Linked DNA regions of Alligator mississippiensis. The protein of the gene in region 1 purifies or fractionates together with the protein of each later gene. This does not show direct contact. Links are inferred from orthologs where the notes say so. Each region holds a gene or a part of one and is shown in the gene's direction. Other genes may lie near its edges.

What was found. Proteins that work in one complex are often made in the same cells at the same time.
Region 2: the proteins of YAP1 (region 1) and VCP purify together in Homo sapiens (affinity purification with mass spectrometry, with the first as the bait; 3 studies listed by BioGRID). This does not show direct contact. The link is inferred for Alligator mississippiensis from reciprocal best matches to the Homo sapiens genes YAP1 and VCP.

Annotation. Positions count from the first base shown.
Region 1 is NC_081824.1:441,909,371-441,919,649, reverse strand, and holds the start of YAP1 (transcriptional coactivator YAP1), read left to right. Parts: upstream 1-5,373; 5' UTR 5,374-5,504; coding exon 5,505-5,822; intron 5,823-6,616; coding exon 6,617-6,867; intron 6,868-10,279. Other genes in the region: CFAP300 (cilia- and flagella-associated protein 300), read left to right, coding at 4,732-4,857. UniProt on the Homo sapiens protein: Transcriptional regulator with dual roles as a coactivator and corepressor. Critical downstream regulatory target in the Hippo signaling pathway, crucial for organ size control and tumor suppression by restricting proliferation and promoting apoptosis.
Region 2 is NC_081826.1:300,916,899-300,927,505, reverse strand, and holds the start of VCP (transitional endoplasmic reticulum ATPase), read left to right. Parts: upstream 1-5,843; 5' UTR 5,844-5,938; coding exon 5,939-5,955; intron 5,956-9,984; coding exon 9,985-10,096; intron 10,097-10,515; coding exon 10,516-10,607. UniProt on the Homo sapiens protein: Necessary for the fragmentation of Golgi stacks during mitosis and for their reassembly after mitosis. Involved in the formation of the transitional endoplasmic reticulum (tER).

The DNA of each region.
Region 1 (10,279 bases):
AAAGACAATATACATGCTTCCAAAAGAAATGGCTGATGTTACTGCAGATTTCCCTGTGAGATACCAGTGCTTCCGTTGTTAGTTAATGAGTCATCACCTTTTGACTACTATGTAGCATTCATGGAAGGCTTTGAAAAGGTTTCCTGAAAATAACCCAATATATATGTCATAATTTACTGTTCTCCTTCCTATTAAACTAAAAGTTTTCCAATTAAATAATAGATTCCTGGAATCAAAAATACCTTCCTAATATTTTTATTTTAACACAATAAAATTGTTTTCATAGCTATGTATCAACAATACAGATTTATATTTATGTTTATTCAGATTTAGGTAAAACATTTAAGGCCTTTCTAGGTTCCTTTGCCATACATTAAAAATATCAGCAATATAACAAGCAAGATTAATTGAGCAATTTATAAATTCTGGAAAACAAATAAATAGGGGGAAAAAATCCACCCTGCTCTTGTTTGAGGGGGGGGAACTGGCATTGCAGCAGGTTGTAAAATTTGGCAAATATGGGTTATTTTAGATGAAGGGAGAGGATGTTCCAAAATTCTGGGCTCTGTAAGGAGAACAGGCTGCAACTTCCTCTTATAAACCTGAGACTCCAGCTTCAGGATTTCCAGTCCCTACATATATGAGGTCATTTCCTGGAGTGAGGCGCAGCTTGTTTGAATAAGCAAGTTTCAAATGAGTTAAATGTACAGTCAAATCTTCTTAAACTCCATTGAAAAAATATGAAACAGATAGTGCAGATCCTAGAGCATAACTGACTTTGTGCTCTTGATGAGAAACTCTACTAATCAAAGCTGCACTGGTTTCAGTTTCTGAGTTGACTTTAAGGTGTAGCCCTGTGCACAGTACTTTACTGTAATCTAATCTAAGGTGAAAAAGGCACGGATCATATTTGTAACGTTTACTTCTGAAAGAAAGAGTCGCATCTACTTAGCCTGACAGAGATAAAAGAAACTCATCCTGGTCACTGGTGCCATCTGATAGTGTAACAGCAGCTGAGAATCTAACAGAACCCCCGTTCCTCAGACTGGAATAACAAATGATGAATACATGTCCTTAGCAAAAGGAGATAAAATCCTCCTCATATCTTTTGGCTGCATTTTCATTATCAACATAACTTCCTATTTACCTGGACCCTGACTCACTAATTAGTCCTCTTCTATAGATCAGTCTCTACAAAACACTAACTAGTTTAGATGATAAAAAAAGAGCTGGAGCTTTGTCTTAGTAACATGCCGAGCAATCTCATACCTATCTGTTCCATATGCTTGTTGGATTTATAAGCATTATCTTGACAACATGTTGATGTGAAAGTTGGTGATTAAAACACATAATTTTAGAAAGTGCTGCTATAAGTTAGTACTACATCTGCTTTAAAACTGCTTTTTAAATGTAATAATCTGATCTTGAACAAAATATTCAAAACAAGTGGTTTTCAACCTATGGCCCATGGACCCCTGGGGGTCTGCAGACTATGTCTAAGGGGTCCATGAAAGATGATTATGTTCAATCAAAAGTATGTGAATACCCACATTTACAGTTCAAAGGGGTCCGCACCTCCATTCATAATATGTTAGGGGTCCACAAATGAAAAAAGGTTGAAAACCAGTGATCTACATATATATGTATACAGCTTCATAGTACAGAGAGCACAGAGGAAAAAAAGGGGAAAAGGAAGTATTTGAAATCTTATGACAGTGTATATTTCTGAACTCTGAATGGTTTAAAATGTTCAGTGTTTGTGTATAAGTAAACTTCACCATGAAGAAATCTGAAACAATTGTGATACTAAATAATAACAAAAGAGTTTCTTAAATGCCAAATCAGCCCATCAGTGCTGTTGGCATCACTGTAATAAAACACATATTCCCTAGTTCTTTTAGAAGACTATTGATAAAGTGTTACATGTTTTCTTGAAGAGATCTTCAACAGTATAATTGTTTCCACAGTATTTCTCTCATATGCTGTCTGAAATCATCAGCAGATTATCTGTGTTTCTCTAAAGCCAGCAGCTTTGGATCTAGTTCTGGCATCACTACATCAAGTGCATGTTGCAGACACACCACCTGTTTGAACTTAAAACTGCAGATTCTTAATTTATGTATAAGACACCCTAATACTAGAGTGATGAGGCACTGATATATGTAGATAAAACTGGTCTTAAACTAGTTTAATTAAAAAGAAAGAAATTTGGTCTAGCTAAAATGAACTGAAAAGCTCCCAGGAGCAGATCCAAAGGGGCCCAGTTGCACTTCGTTTTCCAACCACACAGTGGGAGCAGCAGCCAGGGATTCTTTTTTAAAATCCTCAAATTGGGTAATAATTGCTCTCCTGCCCTCCACTTCATGTTCAGTGGGATGTCACCTCCTCCCCCACACCCCTGGCTGCTTACCACTAGTGCTATCCCCAGGTGCCCCAGGAGCAGGGGGAAATTCCAGAGCCTTTGCTGTCCCACTTTAGCCAGGCTGCCCAGGGAATTGGGCTCAGTTCAGGACAGTGGCAGTGGTGGTACCAGATGAGTACCTCTTCTCTGCCTAGGACTCCCACGTGTACTCTGCCAGCTTGGGAGCAGGCTTATGGAGGCAGACCCTACCTGCCATCACTGCTGCTGCTATCCCTGGCTAAGCCCAACTCCCTGCAGAGCCCAGCTGCAGCAGGGCAGGAGAGGCTCTGGAGCTCCTTCCTTCCCTGGGACAGCTGGATAGTGGGGACAGTGGCAGCAGGGGGCAGGGGAGAGGAAATGCCACTGAGCATGGAGGGAAGATTCTTACCTGATTTCAACACTTAAAAATGTGTTCCTATGGCATGGACTACCTGTCCTGCTGGAGTAGGGGAGAATTTGAGAGCTGGGGTACAGCTAGTAGTTGCTGCTCCTGTACCCTCCCCCCACTTTACAAAATTCAGGATCTGCCCCATGGAAGCTCCTCACATCATATGCAAGGGCACCAGTGGACTGGACAAAATGGAGATGGAACTATAATCCAAGTTCCTCTTCCCAGGTGAGTGCCTTAACCATCTGGGTAGAGCCATGCTCTCTCTTTGGCCCAATGCATGTTGAATTATTTTATTTAAAGTACAATAGTTGCAAGAGGATAAATGGAGGTTTCAGTCCCCCTAGGTTCATCTAAATTTCCCACTTTTTGCATGAGCCTGAATTGTGCACGAGGGGAGCAGCAGCATTCATCCCCCATTCCCCACACGTGCATTAAAAAAAAAAGTACCTGCCCCTTCACTTGTAAAGCCTCTTAGGAACGCTTTGAAAACATCTACTAAGAGATAGGCAGAAATCCAAGGCTATCTGGATGTAGTATACCAGTAACTCTGCTCATGCAGTGCCTGGAATAATTAACAGAGGTCTAAAAACAAAGCTAGTTACCTCAGGTGCAATGCTGCATGGACATGGCTATATTGCTTCTAGTCTGGGAGCTAGCATGCAAAAGCCGCTGTTATCCCTACATAATGGTTGGACCCATGTAGCTGTACTCTTGGGCTGCTTGCAGATGTTTTAAAAAAAACCCCAAAACTGCTTCCCCAGAAGCAGCAGCATGTTACTTCCACCCAGCTCTGCAGCATCTGTATAGATTAGGCACTTCAGCGGGGCTTTTTCGTGCTTTCATCTAAAGCTAAGTCAATCAGGTAGTAGATGAAAGTGCCCCAAAAGCCCCACTAAAGCACCTGATCTATACAGATGTTGGGTGAGCCAGGTCCAACTAATGTGCTGCCTCTTTTGGACATGTGCTGGGCTTTGTGCAGGAGCCCATCGGGTTTAAAGCAAGGTGCAAGTGGCCCTGGTTTCTAGATCTCCCATATGCTCAGGTGAGGCAGGTGCTAAGTTACTCAGCCCTGTTAAGATAGAAGCACTTTGGGGTATGGTCAGTAACAGAACTTGAGAAGTGAAGGACTTCAATGTACAACTTACAGGACAGGTGCTTGTAGGACTAGGCAGCAGCTGAGTGTGATTTATAGAACTGCACTTTTGGTGGAAATCACATTATTTACTCAAATCCAAAACCGTGAATTGAAGATGACCCCCACAATAATTAGAGTCTATACATGGCAGAGCAGGGAGTAAGGAATCAGGCAGTAGAGAAAGCAGGTGTTGTGGGGGTGGTGGAAGGGAGCAAGCAGCTTGTCCCCCACCACCTGTCCTCCCCCTATTTCAACCCCTGTGCTTGGCCCTTACTCCCTCTTACCTCCCCAGCCCCTTCCCCTCCTACTTACCTTTGCTCCAGCCCTGGCAGGCTCTGTCCATGCTGCAGCCTGGGGCCTGGAGCATGGGGTGCAGGTGGGGTACTGGTGCCACAGGGCTGGGTCGGAGCCATGCTCCAAGCCACAGCAGGAGATGGTGGCAGGGGTGCAGAAGAGCAGAGAGTGCAGAGGGGCAGCACCGGTCAGAGCCAGACACCCAGCCCTCTCCTGCCCTGCTCGGTTCCAAGACGAGGGGCTCCCCCATGCAAGGGGAGGACATCTCGTCTTGGGCCCGAGGCAGTGGGGTCGGTGCCCGAGGGCTGTCCTGGCTTTCAGCCGCCTGGCAGCTCAGCACAGCACTACCCTTATCGGTCCAGAAAGGCTGGAGAGGAACAGCTGGCGGGAGCGATCGGCAGGGAGGAGCTGCAGGGCAGCAGGTCAAGCGCTCCGGCCGGGCGGGGCGGGGCAGGGCCGGGCCGGGCCGGGCCCAGCGCCTCACGCCGCCTCCTCCTCTCGTCCCCGCAGGGCGCGGACGGCAGCTGCTTCCCGGGCCACGACCGGCTGAGCTTCGCCTACATCAGTGTGGACCCGCGGCGGCGACACGTGCACGTGCTGTCCCACTGCGCCGGGGCCGCCTCGCCCGCCCGCTGACTCCGCGCGGGCCCGGCCACAATAAACCTCCTCTCTTCGCCTCGCCTCCGTCTCCGTCTGTCCCCGCGGCCGGCCGCTCCCGCACCACCCGGGAGCCCCAGCCCGAGCCGGTCCCTGTGCAGGCCCCCCACCCCCGGCGCGTCACGCGGGTCCCGCCGGGCACCGCCCCCCGCTCCCGCCCCGCCCCCGAGGCCGAAAGTTTGCTGCAAAGTTTTCTCGCTCGTTTAATTTTGCGTTGCACGGACGTCCCGGCAGCGCCGGCCCGCGTGGGCGGGCGGGCGGGCAGGCGGGCTGGGTGGGTGAGTGAGTGAGAGGGGCGGGCCGAAGTCCGGGGACGCGGGCGGGCCGGGTGTGCGGGACAGCGAGCGGGCGCGCCGTGTCGAGCGGGGCAAGACGGAGGGGCAGCGCCTGGCGGGGCTGGGCCGGGCTGGGCGGGGCGGGACCCGGCGCGGGCGGGCGCGGACAGGGGAGGGGGCGGGGCGGGTGCGTCTCAGAACTTTTGTTTGGCCTCTTGCGCGACTTAGTTTCCGCCGCCGCCGGGACGGAGGCGCCGGCCGGGCTGGGCTGGGCCGGGCCGGGCTCGCGGGGCGGCCAGAAGCGGGAGCCCCGGCGGGCGCGGGCTCGGAGCCGCTGCAGCAGCAGCAGCCATGGATCCGGGACAGGCGCCCTCACAGCAGCAGCAGCCGCCCTCGCAGGCGCAGCCCCCGGCGCAGCCGCCGCCGCAGCCCGCCGGGGCTGGGGCCGGGGCCGGGACGGGCGCGGCGCAGCCCCCGGGCGCGGGGCCGCCGCCGGCCGGACACCAGATCGTGCACGTGCGGGGCGACTCGGAGACCGACCTGGAGGCGCTGTTCAACGCCGTCATGAACCCCAAGGGTGCCAACGTGCCGCACACGCTGCCCATGCGGCTCCGCAAGCTGCCCGACTCCTTCTTCAAGCCGCCCGAGCCCAAGGCCCACTCCCGCCAGGTGAGGCTCCCGCCCAGCCCCTCCGCGGCGCCCCCGGGGAGCCCGGCTTTGGGCCCGGGTCGAAGCAGCCCGGGGGCTGCCCCCGCTGCGGGGAGGAGGCGCGCTGCCAGGCTGGGACGTGGCCCGGTGCCATGTCCCAGCCCCGCTGTCGCAGCTGTGCCAGTGGAAGAGGGCTCCCCGCCTGCGGCGCAGTAGCTAGGGTCTTCCTGCTCGCTCGCGCACACAGCAGAAGTTTTGGAGGGCTTGACTCTCCTGCCCACGCTGGCAGTAATAGCCTTCCTGGTCCCTTTGTGGCAAGGTGGGGACTAGATTTCAAGTGGACGGGGATTTCGGCCCCTGATGCCTATAAGGAACCAGGGGTGCAGCTCACTTTTTTTTTTTGGATTTGCTCCTTGCAAGATGCGTGTCAAATGCTACCGAATCAAAATGGTCGTTTATGCTCTGTTGGGAACCATGATGCAACGCTCAGGGCAGTGGTGCATCAGGCATGACAGCGGGGGAGATGGGATCCTGCTCAGAAAACTGTAAGGCTTTTTGTTTGTGCGTTCAAAGTTTACAACAACAAAAGGTAGACGAGAAAGGTTGATAATTTATATTCCCCATGTCCTGGCAACAGCTTAAAGCTTGCTTTGACTTTGTTTAACTTGCTTTGAGCGACGAGCTAACAGCATTGAAACAAGTCAGAAGTTTGAAAACAACTTCTTATACCCGAGTCTCTCGCAGACAATTCAGTAAGGTCAAAGTAGGTGTGTTTCTGCTGAAGTATCTTAATGGGAACTGTTTACTCCCAACAGGCCAGCACTGATGCAGGTTCAGCCGGAGCCTTGACTCCTCAGCATGTCCGAGCTCATTCATCTCCAGCTTCGCTGCAGCTGGGAGCTGTCTCTCCGGGGACCCTTACCCCCTCTGGAGTAGTGACTGGTCCTGGACCTGCCTCATCTTCTCAACATCTCCGTCAGTCCTCATTTGAGATCCCCGATGATGTTCCTCTGCCACCAGGTTGGGAAATGGCTAAGACACCATCTGGCCAGAGATACTTTCTTAAGTAAGTAAAATAGAGTTATAAAAAACAAGGTTACATTTTTTAACGAAGCTCACTGTCCATGTTTAAGAACCTTTGTGTATATAAGAATATGTGCCCCTTTAATATATCAAATACATTTAAAAACTATGGGTCATGATTTTCAGTAGTATAGCTCTTTATCTGATTTGAACTGGGGGTGTAGATGTTGAACCCTGAAAGTTATGCCTAGGTGTGAGAAACATGCCTCATTCTTGGCATGTCTCATCTTGGATTAGTTATTTTTGGGCGTGTTTTTAAGTCTGTTGTAACATATAGTAACTTTAATACTTGGAGTACAATAAAGCAAGGTCATTTAAAGGTATACTTTGGGTCAGTATTTGGAAAATTGCTGAAAATGGATATCAAAGATTAAGAAACTTTCAGCAGTATTGCAGTGAGAATACTGGATGACTGCTGATTACTTTTTTTTTTCTTTGGAAGTACAGTGTCAGGTTCCTATGAAGTCTTATTGGTACATGAACCTGATGGGGCCTGTAGTTCTTAAAACTAACTTTGGAATGAAAGGTGAATGTTGGAATTCTTAAATGTTTTTTGTTTTCACTACTTTGGCTTTTTAAAGTAGTGAAATTAATATAACTTTTTCTCTTGCTGAAGAGGTTACACATGCCAGCACTCTGACATGTCATCCATCAGGAGATGCTCTGTAGAGTTTTCTAAAACAGCAGAAGCCTGTCCTCCTTTTTGCAAGTGTGTGCACAACTCTCGTTCAATCACTAGGTTTCAAGTAACATATTATTTGTCACTTCAGATTTGAAGGGACGGAACCACTAGCATTAAAAAAAAATTATATTCTTACTACCTTGCTAGTCTAAAAAGTGTTCTAAACTTTTTTGTGGTTCCATTTGCTGAAATAAAATATCCAAGCCTGAAATTATATTCGCAGAAGACCTTAATATCTGTGGCTGGGACATGCTTTCCATGTAACTGCACTATGGCTCAGAATGAAATAGGGACCTAATTCAATGCCCATAGAAGAAGCCCCCTTGAAGATTTACCATTGTTTCCTATGAAGCACAAAGTTTGTTCTTATGAAATATTTTGCCTAATTTCACTGTTAGAATTAGGCAGTTTTATGCCAGTTGAGAATGTGACCCACTGGACCTTGAAGAGCAAAACATAGTTTTCATATAATTCCAAAACTTGTATATTATGCTCGTTATACTCTTAACTAGCTTAAATAGAACACGACAAAGATGGTATTTAAAAAAAAAAAATGCTCTATCTGTAGTGCTAATTATTATTTGCATTTAGATCGATGCTTTAAATTTTATAGAGGGAGCATTACAGTTGTTGTGGTAGACGAAAAGAAATCCTTGCACTCCTATAATTGATTCTTTAATTATGCTCATTTAGGTGAAAGCAGAGGGAAGGATTTGATCTTGGAAAGCTTTTCTACAGTTTCGCTATTATTACAGAAAATCTTCCTTTTTTCCTGCAAGTTTTCTTTTTTGTCTGTCTTGGTGTCTTGGTATCCATTTCAAAGAGTCAGGTTTCAGCAAGAACAATAAAGAGCCTGAGACTGGAAAGTACACACAAGTCTGGCAAACTCATCTGCATGAGCAAGATCGTTTGTTCTCAAGCAGACATCCAAAGTAAATGATTGAAAGAGCTGCTAGCTGTGAAGGATGCGTCTTGAAGGGGAAAAGAGTGGAAACAAACCAGGTTGTTAGGAAGAAAAATAAAGGCTGTACTTTTTGAACCTCTCCCTGCTGGGTCACATGCTGACCTTGGGAGATCTTAAACCGCTTAATAGGCTGTTTTCTTTTTGCTTTCCTTGGGTGATGCTGTGGTTTGGGAGAGTCTGAGGACAGTTTTAAAGGCTCTGTTCACGCTTAGAAGAACTATTTCCCTCCCCTCCCCCTAATACAGCCTAAAATACCATCTACAAGTGGAATCTGCTAGCCTTGTTGCAGTTCAGAAGTATTTCTACTAACTTTATAACTTTGCTTCCTAAATTTGGAAAGCGCCAAGAGCTTGTAAAGAATTTCTTTTAACAAAGCAGTTCTGTATTTCAGAAATTGCTTAAAACTGTTGCTTCCTATGATTAAAAATAAAATGTGTGTTTAGCACATATATGCTTTTTTTTGTTTTGAGAGAGCTTAATTTTAATGAAGTAAATATTTAGATTTCTGCTGCTGAGCACATTTTGCTTCTAAAAAACTGGTTCCCTCTGCATGGTGTTTGCTCCACATCCAGGTATTTAGCTTCTTCATTGGATTGGCAGTGGTGCTTTTTGTTTCCATTTCCTCATTCATTAGAAACTCCTAGAGACCAGACAAGACCAGGCTTTTCAAGAAATACCTTTCTAAAGAATAGGTGAAAATATTAGGTGTGTGTTTTCCAGTTGTGAAGATCTTTCCAATTATCACTTTTCCCTATGATGCCTGGCTATCACAGTACTCTGCACTATAGCCAGTTAAATCCAGTACGGAAATTTCCACAGGGGAATCAAGAACTACAAATACAGCAGCTATCACTGGAGAGGCAGGTGAGAAGAAGTTTGAAGCAGCCAAATGTCTTGTTTGACCACACATTAATATAATACCACTAAATAGCATTCTGGGTGAACCAGTTTTTGAAATCCCAGCATCTATCTAGTCAGACTTGTAATAGTCTGTTTTAGCATGATAAATCTATATATGAACAAATTTAAATTTCTGACCAATACTTGATTTGCCAGTGTTTCATCACTATTAATGAGTTAATATTCATAGTACTTTCAAAACTAGGAGTTTTTATGAATGTGTCTTTTCTTCAGTGTAATATATTCCTGTTACAGTTAGTAGAATTCCCTACTTTGTTAAAAGTTGCTAACTTCAGTGAAATTGTGACCGGAACTCAGCAGTTATAATAATAATAATAATAATAAAAAAAGCCTAGTCTGGTTAGTCAGGAGGTGGAATTTAGTCAGCTTCATGCTATTATACACAAGAACTTAGACGGTTCTTAAACATACAATAAAGATGGCAGTATTGGTCAGTGGGGAGATGTCAGCTTCATTGTTTTTGAACCACTTCCTGTTATCCGGCTATAAATTGACATTTCAATTAACCGTGAAGAAAGATCTACAAAATCATTCTGTGCGCTAGAGAGACTATATGGTAGTTCAGGATCAGCCACTTGGAAAAGGGAAGAACCGTATGTTATACATGTGATGCATGTATTTTATAATCAATATTTATATCATTTTAACTTGTATAACACAGTACATGCAATTCTTGCAAAAAAGATACAGTAGTCTGTCGTCTTTTCTAGTATGAGGAAGCAGTTACTGTTCACCCCAGCTGTCTTGGTTTCTCCTGTAGGAAGCTGTTCTGTCTAGTAGTTTATCAACAACTTCCTATTTTTTCTGTGAAGTGTTGTATGACTTCCT
Region 2 (10,607 bases), on another chromosome or scaffold:
GAGGGTCTCGCCCCTCCACTCAGACTCGGAGCAATGCTGTACTGGGGGCAGGAGGGGATTTCCCCCTGGTCAGGCTGGTCTGGACTGGGGGGTTTTGCCTTCCTCTGCAGTGGGGGCACGGCCTCTGCCTGGGGTCTCTCGAGAGTATATTAACCCCCTTTGCTGCAGTAGGATGTTGGCTGCTGCGGCCCCCCTGCTTTCCTTGGGGCAGGGGCAGGTGTAATGCCTGGTGCTGTGTCAGGGTCGATGGTCGTTTTACTGGGAGATTCAGAGAATCGCAGACAAGGAGGGTGGAAGGGAGCTCAGGAGGTCACATCTAGTCCAACCCCCTGCTCCAAGCAGGACCAGCCTCAACTACATCATCCCAGCCACGGCTTTGTCTTCCTGGGTCTTCAACACCTCCACGGATGGAGACTGCACCGCCTCTCTGGGGAGCCTGGTCCAGTGCTTCACTGCCCTCCTCATGAGAAAGTTTTTCCTAATATCCAACCTCAACTTCCCTTGCTGCAGCTTGAGCCCATTGCTCCTTGTCATGCCATCTGCCCCCACTGAGACCAGCCCAGCTCCAGATCAGAAGGTGGATTTATAGAGTCTTAGAGCCGTGGGGCTGGAAAGGACCTGCAGAGGTCACATCTAGTCCAACTTCTGCCTGTCCAAACCATCCCAGACACATCCATCCTCTAAACTCTTCAACCCTGATACAACACCAGACATCACACTCGAACCTGCCACAGGCAAAGCGGGGGGGTCACGGTGATAAAAGGTTAACATACACTCAATATAGTCGTTCTGGGTTGGTTTGGACAGGCCGGGGTTGGACTAGATGTGACCCCTGCAGGTCCTTTCCAGCCCCACGGCTCTCTGATTCTATGATTTTATTCAGTCCCCACATACCCCATGTATCTCCTGTGCCAGGTTTGGCTGTACTGTCCTGCCTGTTGTCCTTACGTATTATGCTAGTTTGTACTGAGTCTGAACAGCCTTGAATAAATGCCAGAGGTTCGGATGAACCCCAGTGCCTTCCACAGAAGGCCTTTAACTGTTACCGCTCCTACCCTGCCTTGCAGCCTGTGCTCAGCCAAGCTAGCCCTTCCCTACTTGCATCGTACCCCAGGGGCTGCAGACAGCGCAGGTTGGTAAACCTAGCTCAGCTCCCATGGAGGTGGCGTCTCTGGGCATGGGGTGTGAAACTAGTATCACACCTGCTTACAGGAGACATCCAGACCCGTGGCAAAAGAATTGGGCAAGGTGGAGTCCCCTTCTCTGGAGGTTTCCAAGAGGAGGCGCTGGGCAGGGAGGATTGAGGACTGGTGCAGTGGGTTGGACCAGACGATCCTTGGGGTCCCTTCCAGCCCGGTGATCCCGGGAGGCAGACAGGCTGCTGGCTTCCCCTGCCGTCCCATGGTAAGGCGTAGTAGCAGCAGCTGTCAGTGTGAACCGTGCCCAGACAAGCTGCACATCATCCCCATCTCCATCCCCAGTCAGCCTGACCAGCAAACACCTTCCATAAGGAAAATTTAGCAAGTTTGGGGATGGGAAGGGGTGGGGATGGCTGTGCAAGGTGTGGGATAGTCTGATATCGGGGTGATACGGCTGGGACGGGAACCCCCAGATCAGGATGTGGAGCAAGCTCCTGGTACACAACAGCTTAAGACATTCAAAATCCAGGTGGGAAGTAGGACGACATTGGTTTTAGGCCTGTATAGAAGGAGAGTTAGAAATGACGGGGACCTGGTACTAGCCCAGGGGAGCCTACATGGTGCACTTTGTCACGGGCACACGTGTGTTAACGCCTTGTGCAGCAGATCACAAGTGTGTTATGGCCGTGCCTTGAGACAAGAAACCTGGCTGAGCCTTTGCCACCGAACCGAGCCCGTGGTAATTTAAGAGAGGACTGGTGTTGGGATCTCCTGGCTGTGACGCAGCCCGAGACTTCGATAATGCCCGGTGAGGACAGCGATGAGCGAGCCCCTGCCTCTCCGAGCAAATTAGTCTCTGAGGTGCCACCCTGCCCTGCCTTCTGCTTGGCAAGCCGTGGCGCAAAACCAGCCCATGTTCCAGCAGGGCGTGTGTCTGTCCCTGCCCTTAGATGTGCCAGCACCACGGAGAGAAACCGGCCGGTGCCCGGAGCAGGGCCAGCTGTCTTGGTTCTCCCGCTGGGCACCTCTCCAGGCCAGGACCTGGCAGGATGCTTCCCTGTGGGGGCTCTTGTCCGGCCCGGCTTTCCTCGCCCCTGCACGCAGGGAGGAGAGGCCTGGCCCAGGCACCCTGCGGGGCAAGGCGTAGAGCTGGGGGGCGTCAGCTGTGAAACACTCGGCCAACACCCCGGGGCTGTTGTGCCAGGGCTCTGTGTGCGTAACGGTGCCACGGTGCCGGATGGAGGGCATCCGGGGGCAGTCTGCAGGGCAGCGTGCAGGGTCTCTCCATCCCGTGCGGGTGTGTGTCTGTGTGTCCCACGGATAGTGGGGGGGTGTCACTCCTACTGTTAGTGGGGTGTGTGTGTCACCCCCACTGATAATGTGGGGGGAATGTGTCACCCCCAGTGATGGTGGGTGGGTGGGTGTGTGTGTGGTTGTGGCTCTCAGGGACAGTGGCGTGTGTCTGTGTATGTTCCCACTGACAGTGCTGCACGGGGGTGTTAGTGTGTGCATCTCCCAGGGACCGTGGGGTGCGTGTGTGTCAGTCCCACTGATGGTGTGTGTGTGTGAAAGACACTCCCCTGCCCCACAGCTGGCTGGGCCGCCTGTGCTGCAGGGCAGGAGGTGTCGGCAAGTGCATCCTCCTCCACATTGCCCCCCGGTGCAGTGGCACTGCCAGGCCCCCATCACGCTGGGCACTGCCCGAACCCCAGGGCTGGCGGGGTGCTACGCTGAGCTGCTCCCAGCGTGAGCGAGGTGGTGGAGAGGACCCAGGCTCCCTGAACCCGTCCGCGAGGCCGTGTGGCACCTGGCTGGTGACGGCACCATGTGGGAGCGGCTTGGCTGGGACGTGGCGTGGGCTCGTGGGAACAGCCAGCAGGCACCTGGCAGCCTCGGGGAGCTGGCACGCACACGCCTGGTCTGCGCTGCCATCTGCCAGGCAGACAGCAGTGTGTCACAGCAGCGCCCATGGCTTGTCACGCCGAGAACGCGGCCCAGGGACAGCACCTGGCAGAGGGGAAGTAAGGGGCTTGCTGCTCCCCAGCTGGCTAGTGCCAGGGCATCCCGGCTGGGGGTGGCACCAAGCAGGACTGGTCTCAGTGCGGGAGACGACAGGACAAGGAGCAATGGGCACAAGCTGCAGCAAGGGAAGTTGAGGTTGGATATTAGGAAAAACTTCCTCACTAGGACGGTGGCGAAACCAGCTCTCCAGAGAGGCACCGACCTGCCTCGTCCCCAGCCCTGAGGACGATGACTCCAGGATACATCTGAGCACCCCGGCCCGGGGGAGTCTCTGCGCAAGGTCTTGCAGACTGTACCAGGCCCACGTCTGAACTCAGTCAGTTGAGTTTCCTTTGTCTCTCGTGGCCAGGGCTCTTCCAGACTCCACACCTTTCTTGCAGCTCTTCTCTGAGCCCCGCTCAGTTTATCCATATCCCTCCTGTGGGGCTGGTACCAGAACTGTGCCCCGGGTCTGACTGGTAATGGTCTCACCGATACCACATCCGCGCCCTTCCCCTGCTTGCACCTCAACGGCTTAATCTGTTCCTTGCTGCGCTGGCAGCCCCAGCGCTCCTTGCTTATGAATCACGGTCCCCAAATCCTTTTCAGTCGCTGCCCTCGAGGAAGCTGAACTACAGCCCTTGCTCCTGGATGTGCACGTGTGTTTGTCCATGTTCAGACAAGGAGCTCAGCTCCCCGAGCAATCCGGGTTGGGCTGCACAGCTGCCCAGTTACCATTTTTAAACATCAATTTACCTTGTCTCTAAGTTTAATGAGCTATTATTTTCTTCTGGAATAGGGTGAATGGGGGACTGATCTGTACAGGGCTGGACTAGCATCTCCCCACTGGGTGAAAATGATTTCCCAGCTACTTTTTAAGTCCACTGGTTTATAATCGAGGTACTGTGAGCTGCCTTGGAATCGCAGAGCAGGAGGGTGGAAGGGAGCTCAGGAGGTCACATCCAGTCCAACCCCGGCTCCAAGCAGGACCAGCCCCAGCTACATCATCCCAGCCAGGGCTTTGTCTACCCGGGTCTTCAACACCTCCAAGGATGGAGACTCCTCCACCTCTCTAGGGAGCCTGGTCCAGTGCTTCACCACCCTCCTTCTGAGAGAGTTTTCCTTTATATCCAACCTCAACTTCCCTTGCTGCAGCTTGAGCCCATTGCTCCTTGTCCTGTCGTCTGCCCCCATGGAGAACAGCCCAGCTCCATCCTCTTTGCACCCCCCTGCAGGGAGGTGAAGGCCGCCGTCAAATCCTCCCTCGGTCTTCTCTTCTGCAGACTCAATCAGCCCAGGTCCCTTGGCCTCTCCTCACCAGTCCTGTCCTCCAGCCCCCAACCATTTCCATTGCCCTCCACTGGACTCTCTCCAGTGTGTCCACAGCCTTTCTGTAGTAGGGCCACAGCTGGACACAGGACTCCAGATGTGGTCTCCCTGGTGCTGAATAGAGGGGAAGGAATCACTGCCCTCCATCTGCTGGCAGCGCTCCTACCGATGCAGCCCAGGACGCCGGTAGCCTTCTTGGCACCAAGGGCACACTGCTGGCTCCTGTCCAGCTTCTTGTCCCCTGTCCCCCCAGGGCCTTTTCTAAAAAGCTGCTGCCCAGCCCGTCACCCCAGCCTGCACCGGTGCAGGGGTGCAGGACTTTGCACTTGTCCTTGTTGAACCTCATGCGATTCCTCTTGGCCCAATCCTCCAGTGTGTCGAGGTCTCTCCGAATCCCAGCATTGCCCTCCAGCGTATCTACTGCTCCCCCCAGCTCGGTGTCGTCTGTGAACTTGCGGAGGGTGTGCCGCATCCCATCTTCCAGGTCACTGATGAAGATGTTGAAGGAACCCGGGCCCAGGACCGACCCCGGGGCGCTGCACTGGTGTCCGTCTGCCTCGACTCGGCACACGCTGGCTTTTCACACCCCGCACGGCTTGCCCTGCCCTGCGCCTTGCAGGAGTCGAACGCAGGAAGCTGCCAGTCTCTTTGCGAAGCCGACGCGTCCCCACAGACAGCGGCAGGAGTAGCCGCGCTTGCCGACGTGCCGTGACGTGTGCTCCCCGCCGTTGAGTGATGCCTGCCCGTGGCCCACAACTGCTCTTCCACCGTGTTGTGCAGAAGCGACATCCCTTGGCGCTGCCACCGCCCTGTCCCTGCTCCCCAGCGCAGGGCCGCAAGGCACAACCCCTTTGCCGTGTGTCTGAGCACCCTGGACAGCCGGTTCAGTGCCAGGGGCAAGGGCCATAAGCACCCTGGGTGCAAGAAGGGGTGCACACCCCTCAGCCTGTGCAAGCCCCTGCCCCTGCATGGCCCTGCTGCACCCCTGCCCTGGGCCCTCGAGCCCCTGCAGCACGTGTCTCCCTAGAAGGATCAGCAGGCCTGTCAATCATCGCGCCGCCTTCCCTCATTGGCTGACTCCCTGGGCAGCAGCCAATGGAGCGGGGCTCACTAGGCAGAATGACGAAAAGGGCGGCCCCCACGGGCCGATTTTTCCCATTGGCGCATTTTTCCCATTGGCCGATCCGCGCCGCGTTGCCGGGCAGAACAACGCACCTGGCTCCGCGCGCACCCATTGGCGGCGCGGGACCGGGAGCCGTTGGATGATTGGCTCTTTTTTCCCATTGGCGGAGGCGCCCCGGCCCCGAATTTCCGATTGGGCGCGGCCGCCGGTTGCTAGGCAGACTGCGGCGGGCGGAGCTTCCCCCGCCGATGAGTCGGCGCTGAGGCGCAGTCAGAGCCGAGCGCCCGCAGCTGCCGCCGCCAGAGCCCGAGCCCATCCCTGCCTGCCGCCGCCCGCCACCGCCGCCATGGCCTCGGGATCCGAGTGAGTGCAGGGCCACCCCTAGGCCTCTCCCCGCGCCCCATTCTGAGGGGCCCCCGCGCATGCGCACTGCCACGCGCACCCCGTTCTGAGGGGCCCCCGCGCATGCGTACTTCCCCCGCACCCCGTTCTAGGGGGCCCGCGCGCATGCGCACTCCCCCCTCCCTGCACCCCGTTCCGAGGGGCCCCGCGCATGCGTAGCGAGGGCCGAGGCCTGGGCCCGATCCCGCTGTGTCATGCAGGCCCGGGAGGGGGGGCGGGCCCGGCGCTGCTCCGCCCCCAGGTGGGGGAGGGGCGTGCGGCCTAGGCCTTGGCCTGGTGTGCGTGTCCCACGGCCTGAGCCTGCTCCTGCTTCCTGGGGGGTGCAAGGGATGGTTTTGGCCCACGCTGAAGCCACCCCCCTGCTCCAACTCATCCTCCTTTGTCTGCCGGGGCCTCAACCCCCCCAAGGGTGGAGCCTGCACCCCTCCTCGGGGGAAACCCCTTCCTCATTTAACCTCGACTTTCCTTGCTGCAGCCGAAGCCCATTGCTCCCCTGTCCTGTCCCGCGCCGCGCCGCGCTCTTTGCAGCCCCCCAGCAGGCTGCCGTTCGAGCCCCGCTTTGGTCCTCGGACTTCAATAAATGTTAGGGGTTCGCCCGGCCGGCGCCCCTAGACCAGCTTCGGGGGGGAAGCCGCGTCGCGTGCGCGGTGTTTGTGTAAATATAGCCTTCTCCGTGGAGCAGCGAACGGGCGCCCGGCGGGAGCGATGCGGTCGAATCGGTCGATGCGAAACGGTTTACCGGCACGGAGAGGTCGAAACTCGTGTCAGGTTCGTTACGGAAAGCCGGCCTCCGCCGGCTCGGATACGACGTTGTCCCGTCTCCGTTCGCCGGGCGACGTCGCTGTCAGGAGACCGGCCGACCGGCGCTGGAAACGTCTCTTGTGTCCCCCGCACGTGGTCGCGCTGCGAACCGTACCGCAGCGCAGCCTGGGTTGCGTCACCTACGGGGTAAAGCAACAGCTTTACCACGGGGCAGATGATCGGCGGCATCATCGTTAAGTCTTTTTTTTTTCCCCTTCTCTTTTTGGCAGACAGAGCTTCCCTTGTAAAGGAAGGGACGGGGGTCTCTGAATGGGGAAACGCGGGGTTTAGGGCTGGGACCGTTCTGCCCAGAGCTGGGATCGGGCACTGGTTGGACTGCGCCGCTCGGGGGGTTACGGCCGGACCCCTGGACGGCGCTAGGGAGAGGGATGGGCGCGTGCCGTGCGCGCTACGCTTCGGACCTACGCATCTCTAAAACCAAAACGGCACGCCTGTCGCAGGCCTCCACGAGAAAAGAAAGCGACGATTCGTGCGTCGGCACGGGGCTTTTTGGAGCTGTCAAGCTCTCGGTCCCTCTGATTCTCCTCTCTGGGTGAAGCAACGTTTTCACTTTCGCAAGAAGCCATGATGCGACCCGCCTGACTTCTCACTTCCTTTCTGTGCGCCCATTCATCCTCCACCGCATTTCTGAGCTGAGGTGGCTTGCAGCTGGCCCCGTTCGTCTGGATGAACACGTGCCAGCATTTGGCATCCTCTCCAACTGTTAGTGCACCCAAGCCTTTCGCTCGCTGTGTGAGCTGCCGTGCGCCCCGTAACCTGCTTCGTCTGGCTGGTAGCGTCTCTTCTCTCTGGATTGTGCAAGTTCAAAGTCCTTCAGTGTGAAAACTCTCTTCCTCTGATGAATTAGCTCATGTTGACTCAAGTTAGGTGTCACCTGCCAGCGTGTTGCTCAACCCCCGGTGCGCTGAATGATACTTGAGCCTTCTCACAATCCTTCCCAAGTTTTTCATTTCTCATCGCTGTCTTGTCTCTGAGCTTCAACTCGCTGCCTGTTTCCTTTTCTGTTTTTGTAACGTATACGCGATGCCGGCCCCACAGTACCAACCCCAGACCCCCGCAGCCAGCCTTTGTGTCCTAAGAGACAGGCTGTGATTTGCAGTGGTGCCTTGGGTTGCTCCAGTAGATCGAGTCGTATCAGAGGGTCCTCGAGTGTACGTGCTCTGTACAGGGGGGGCATGACTTGCATTCAGGACTCCTCCCTGGTTGGAGAGGACTGTATCCCTTCTGTTGCAGAACTTGTGCTGGCTTTGTTCCCTGCGGTGATGTCACTTCGCAGCGCTCTCCATTAGCCAGCCTGAGGCTTGCCATCGATCGCCTCAGTACCACAGCGAGCTTCTTTGGTTTCTGACTTACAGGATCTCTCTTGGCTCCATCAAGTTCGTGGCTCTAAAGTTTAGCCGCTCTGAACTTCCCATCCTCCAGAGGAGGTGTGGCTCATGGAGAGCCTGCATCTCATTAGCTCACCTGTTGCTTCACCTGATGAGCTTAGCTGGCTCCGTAGCTTGCACATCTTGGGTTTCTTGTTTCGCTGTGTTACGATGGTCAGGACTGCCTGGGTGGGCTGCTGCTGCAATCAGTCCCATCTACAGTCACAACCAGCAGCCTCCCTATTTCTAATGAACGTCTGTCTGGGAATCGTGTGTGGCAGGTTCAGAGCAGCGCGTTGACACTCCTCCCTTACCTGGAGAGTTGAGAGGAGCAATCCAGTTATGAAGGAGCCGAAACACGCTCTGGGAAAAGTGACTTGTCCAGAGCTGCCCACACAGAGGCTCCTGCTTCCTGGTTCAGTAGGGTTTTTCCTTTTAGAATAGCTCTGCCCCTTTCTCCTTGCTGAGTCCTGCCTCTTACTTCCTAATGCTTTGCTCAGGCCAGCTTCCCAAACTGTTTCTAGATGGGCCAGCTGCCTTCATGTTCATCCTGTGAGAGTCTTTCTGAAGCATCAGGGTAGGGGGTCACTACCTCATTCGTTATCTGCTTCATCATCGCATTGGTGTGACTCTCCGGAGACCTCGCACCTGTCTGTCGCAGTAAAATATCTCCAAAAGAGCCCCTGAGCCTGCAAACCAAAGCAACGGGTCTTCCCCAGGCAGCACTCCTCCGCCCCGCACCTGCCTGCTGCCCTCCGCCTCCTCCCCTCCAGCCTGGGGCTCGCCAAGCTTTCATTTCCCCCTAATGGACTTGTCTGCAGCCATCCTCCTGGTCCAGTAAAAACCTGGGCTCCAACCCTCGGCTAAAGTGTGTTACTTTGGGGAGGCCTTTTATTGGAACCAAGCCAGGCTGTGCATAATATCATTGCTCACTCATTTATGGTATCTCTGAACCATCCAGAGGCGTCAGCCACACATTTAACAACACAGCATTAAAATCCTGCCCTGTTCTTGTCCCAGAACTGCCTGAAACTTCTGCAACCTTCTCCAGAGCATGGATTCAGATTCCTTTCTCTTTTAGTCAAGTATCTTTTGCTGGATGCATTATAACGTGAAACAAAAGCACTTTATAAATCTACTGTTTCACCCTTTTTTGGCCCTCCTGCTTTTCAGCTCACTCAGTTTGGACAGGACAAATGAAGTAGTTGGTTTCATTTCCCTTTCTCTAAGGTGCAAGTGAATGCTGCAAGGAAGCTTTTGCTGTTTTCGTGGACACTTGCGATACATAAACATTTCTGCTATATTTGCTAGCCTTCCCCAAGCTAAGCTCCAGTCCTCATCCAGTTTGGTGAACTGTAGCATTGTCCTGTAACTCCTCTTCAGCTGGGATTTGTGACCAAATGGGTTCTACCCGGTTGGCTGCACCCATGGTATTCCCTTTACATGTCATTGCAAATGTTAATCTTGCTACAATACCTTTGTTTTTAGGCAAATACATTCCAGTCAGGAACATTTTACTGAGCTGTACCCATTTTCTTAACTGTCTTCGTAGCTGTTTTAGTTCCAGGCTAATATAGTCCCTGAAATAATTTTCATATAGAAGATGTTCTTGGCATACCTCTTGCATTGGTTACCCTGTAAATGGTATTGCTCTTTGCCTTTCAAAAACCAGTGTAACTTCTAACAGGCAAAGTAACAAGAAGAGTTTATAGCTTGTATAGAACAAGGAAAGCAAAGTAGAGTATGGCTAGAAAAGGAGGAGCCGTGTCCAAGCTAAAGAGTCCTGTGTTTTCCTTTCCAGTTCTAAAGGAGATGACTTATCAACTGCAATTCTGAAGCAGAAGAACAGGCCCAATCGGTTAATTGTCGATGAAGCCATCAATGAGGACAACAGCGTTGTATCGCTGTCCCAGGTATGTGTCACATAAAGCAAAAAATTATGTACTTGATATGTGAATTATGTCTGTGTATTTTGGTCTGAAACTGAGTATTTGGTGAGAGGGGTTGAGCATGGGTTTGCTCCATGTAAAATGGCACGAAAGCTTAAGGGGAAACAACACTTGAGTGGTGCTGGGTAGAAATGAAAAGGAACTGTCTTCTTGTCTGTAAGCGTTTTGATCAAATATTGTGATTCTAGAAATAATGCTAGTGGTCAGTCGAACAGAAGGCCTGGCCCAGCTTCAGGGTTGGCAGTTGGCCTGCCATAGTGTGTCCTGTGGCACTTCATGACTCGTTCAGCACCTTCACTGTCAAGATGTAACACTTAAATCCGGTTGTTTTCTCTCTCAGACCATTACATTCCTGCTTACTCTAATGTTGTCATTGTTCACAGGCAAAAATGGATGAATTGCAGCTGTTCAGAGGAGACACTGTTTTGTTAAAAGGAAAGAAGAGGAGAGAGGCAGTCTGCATTGTCCTGTCAGA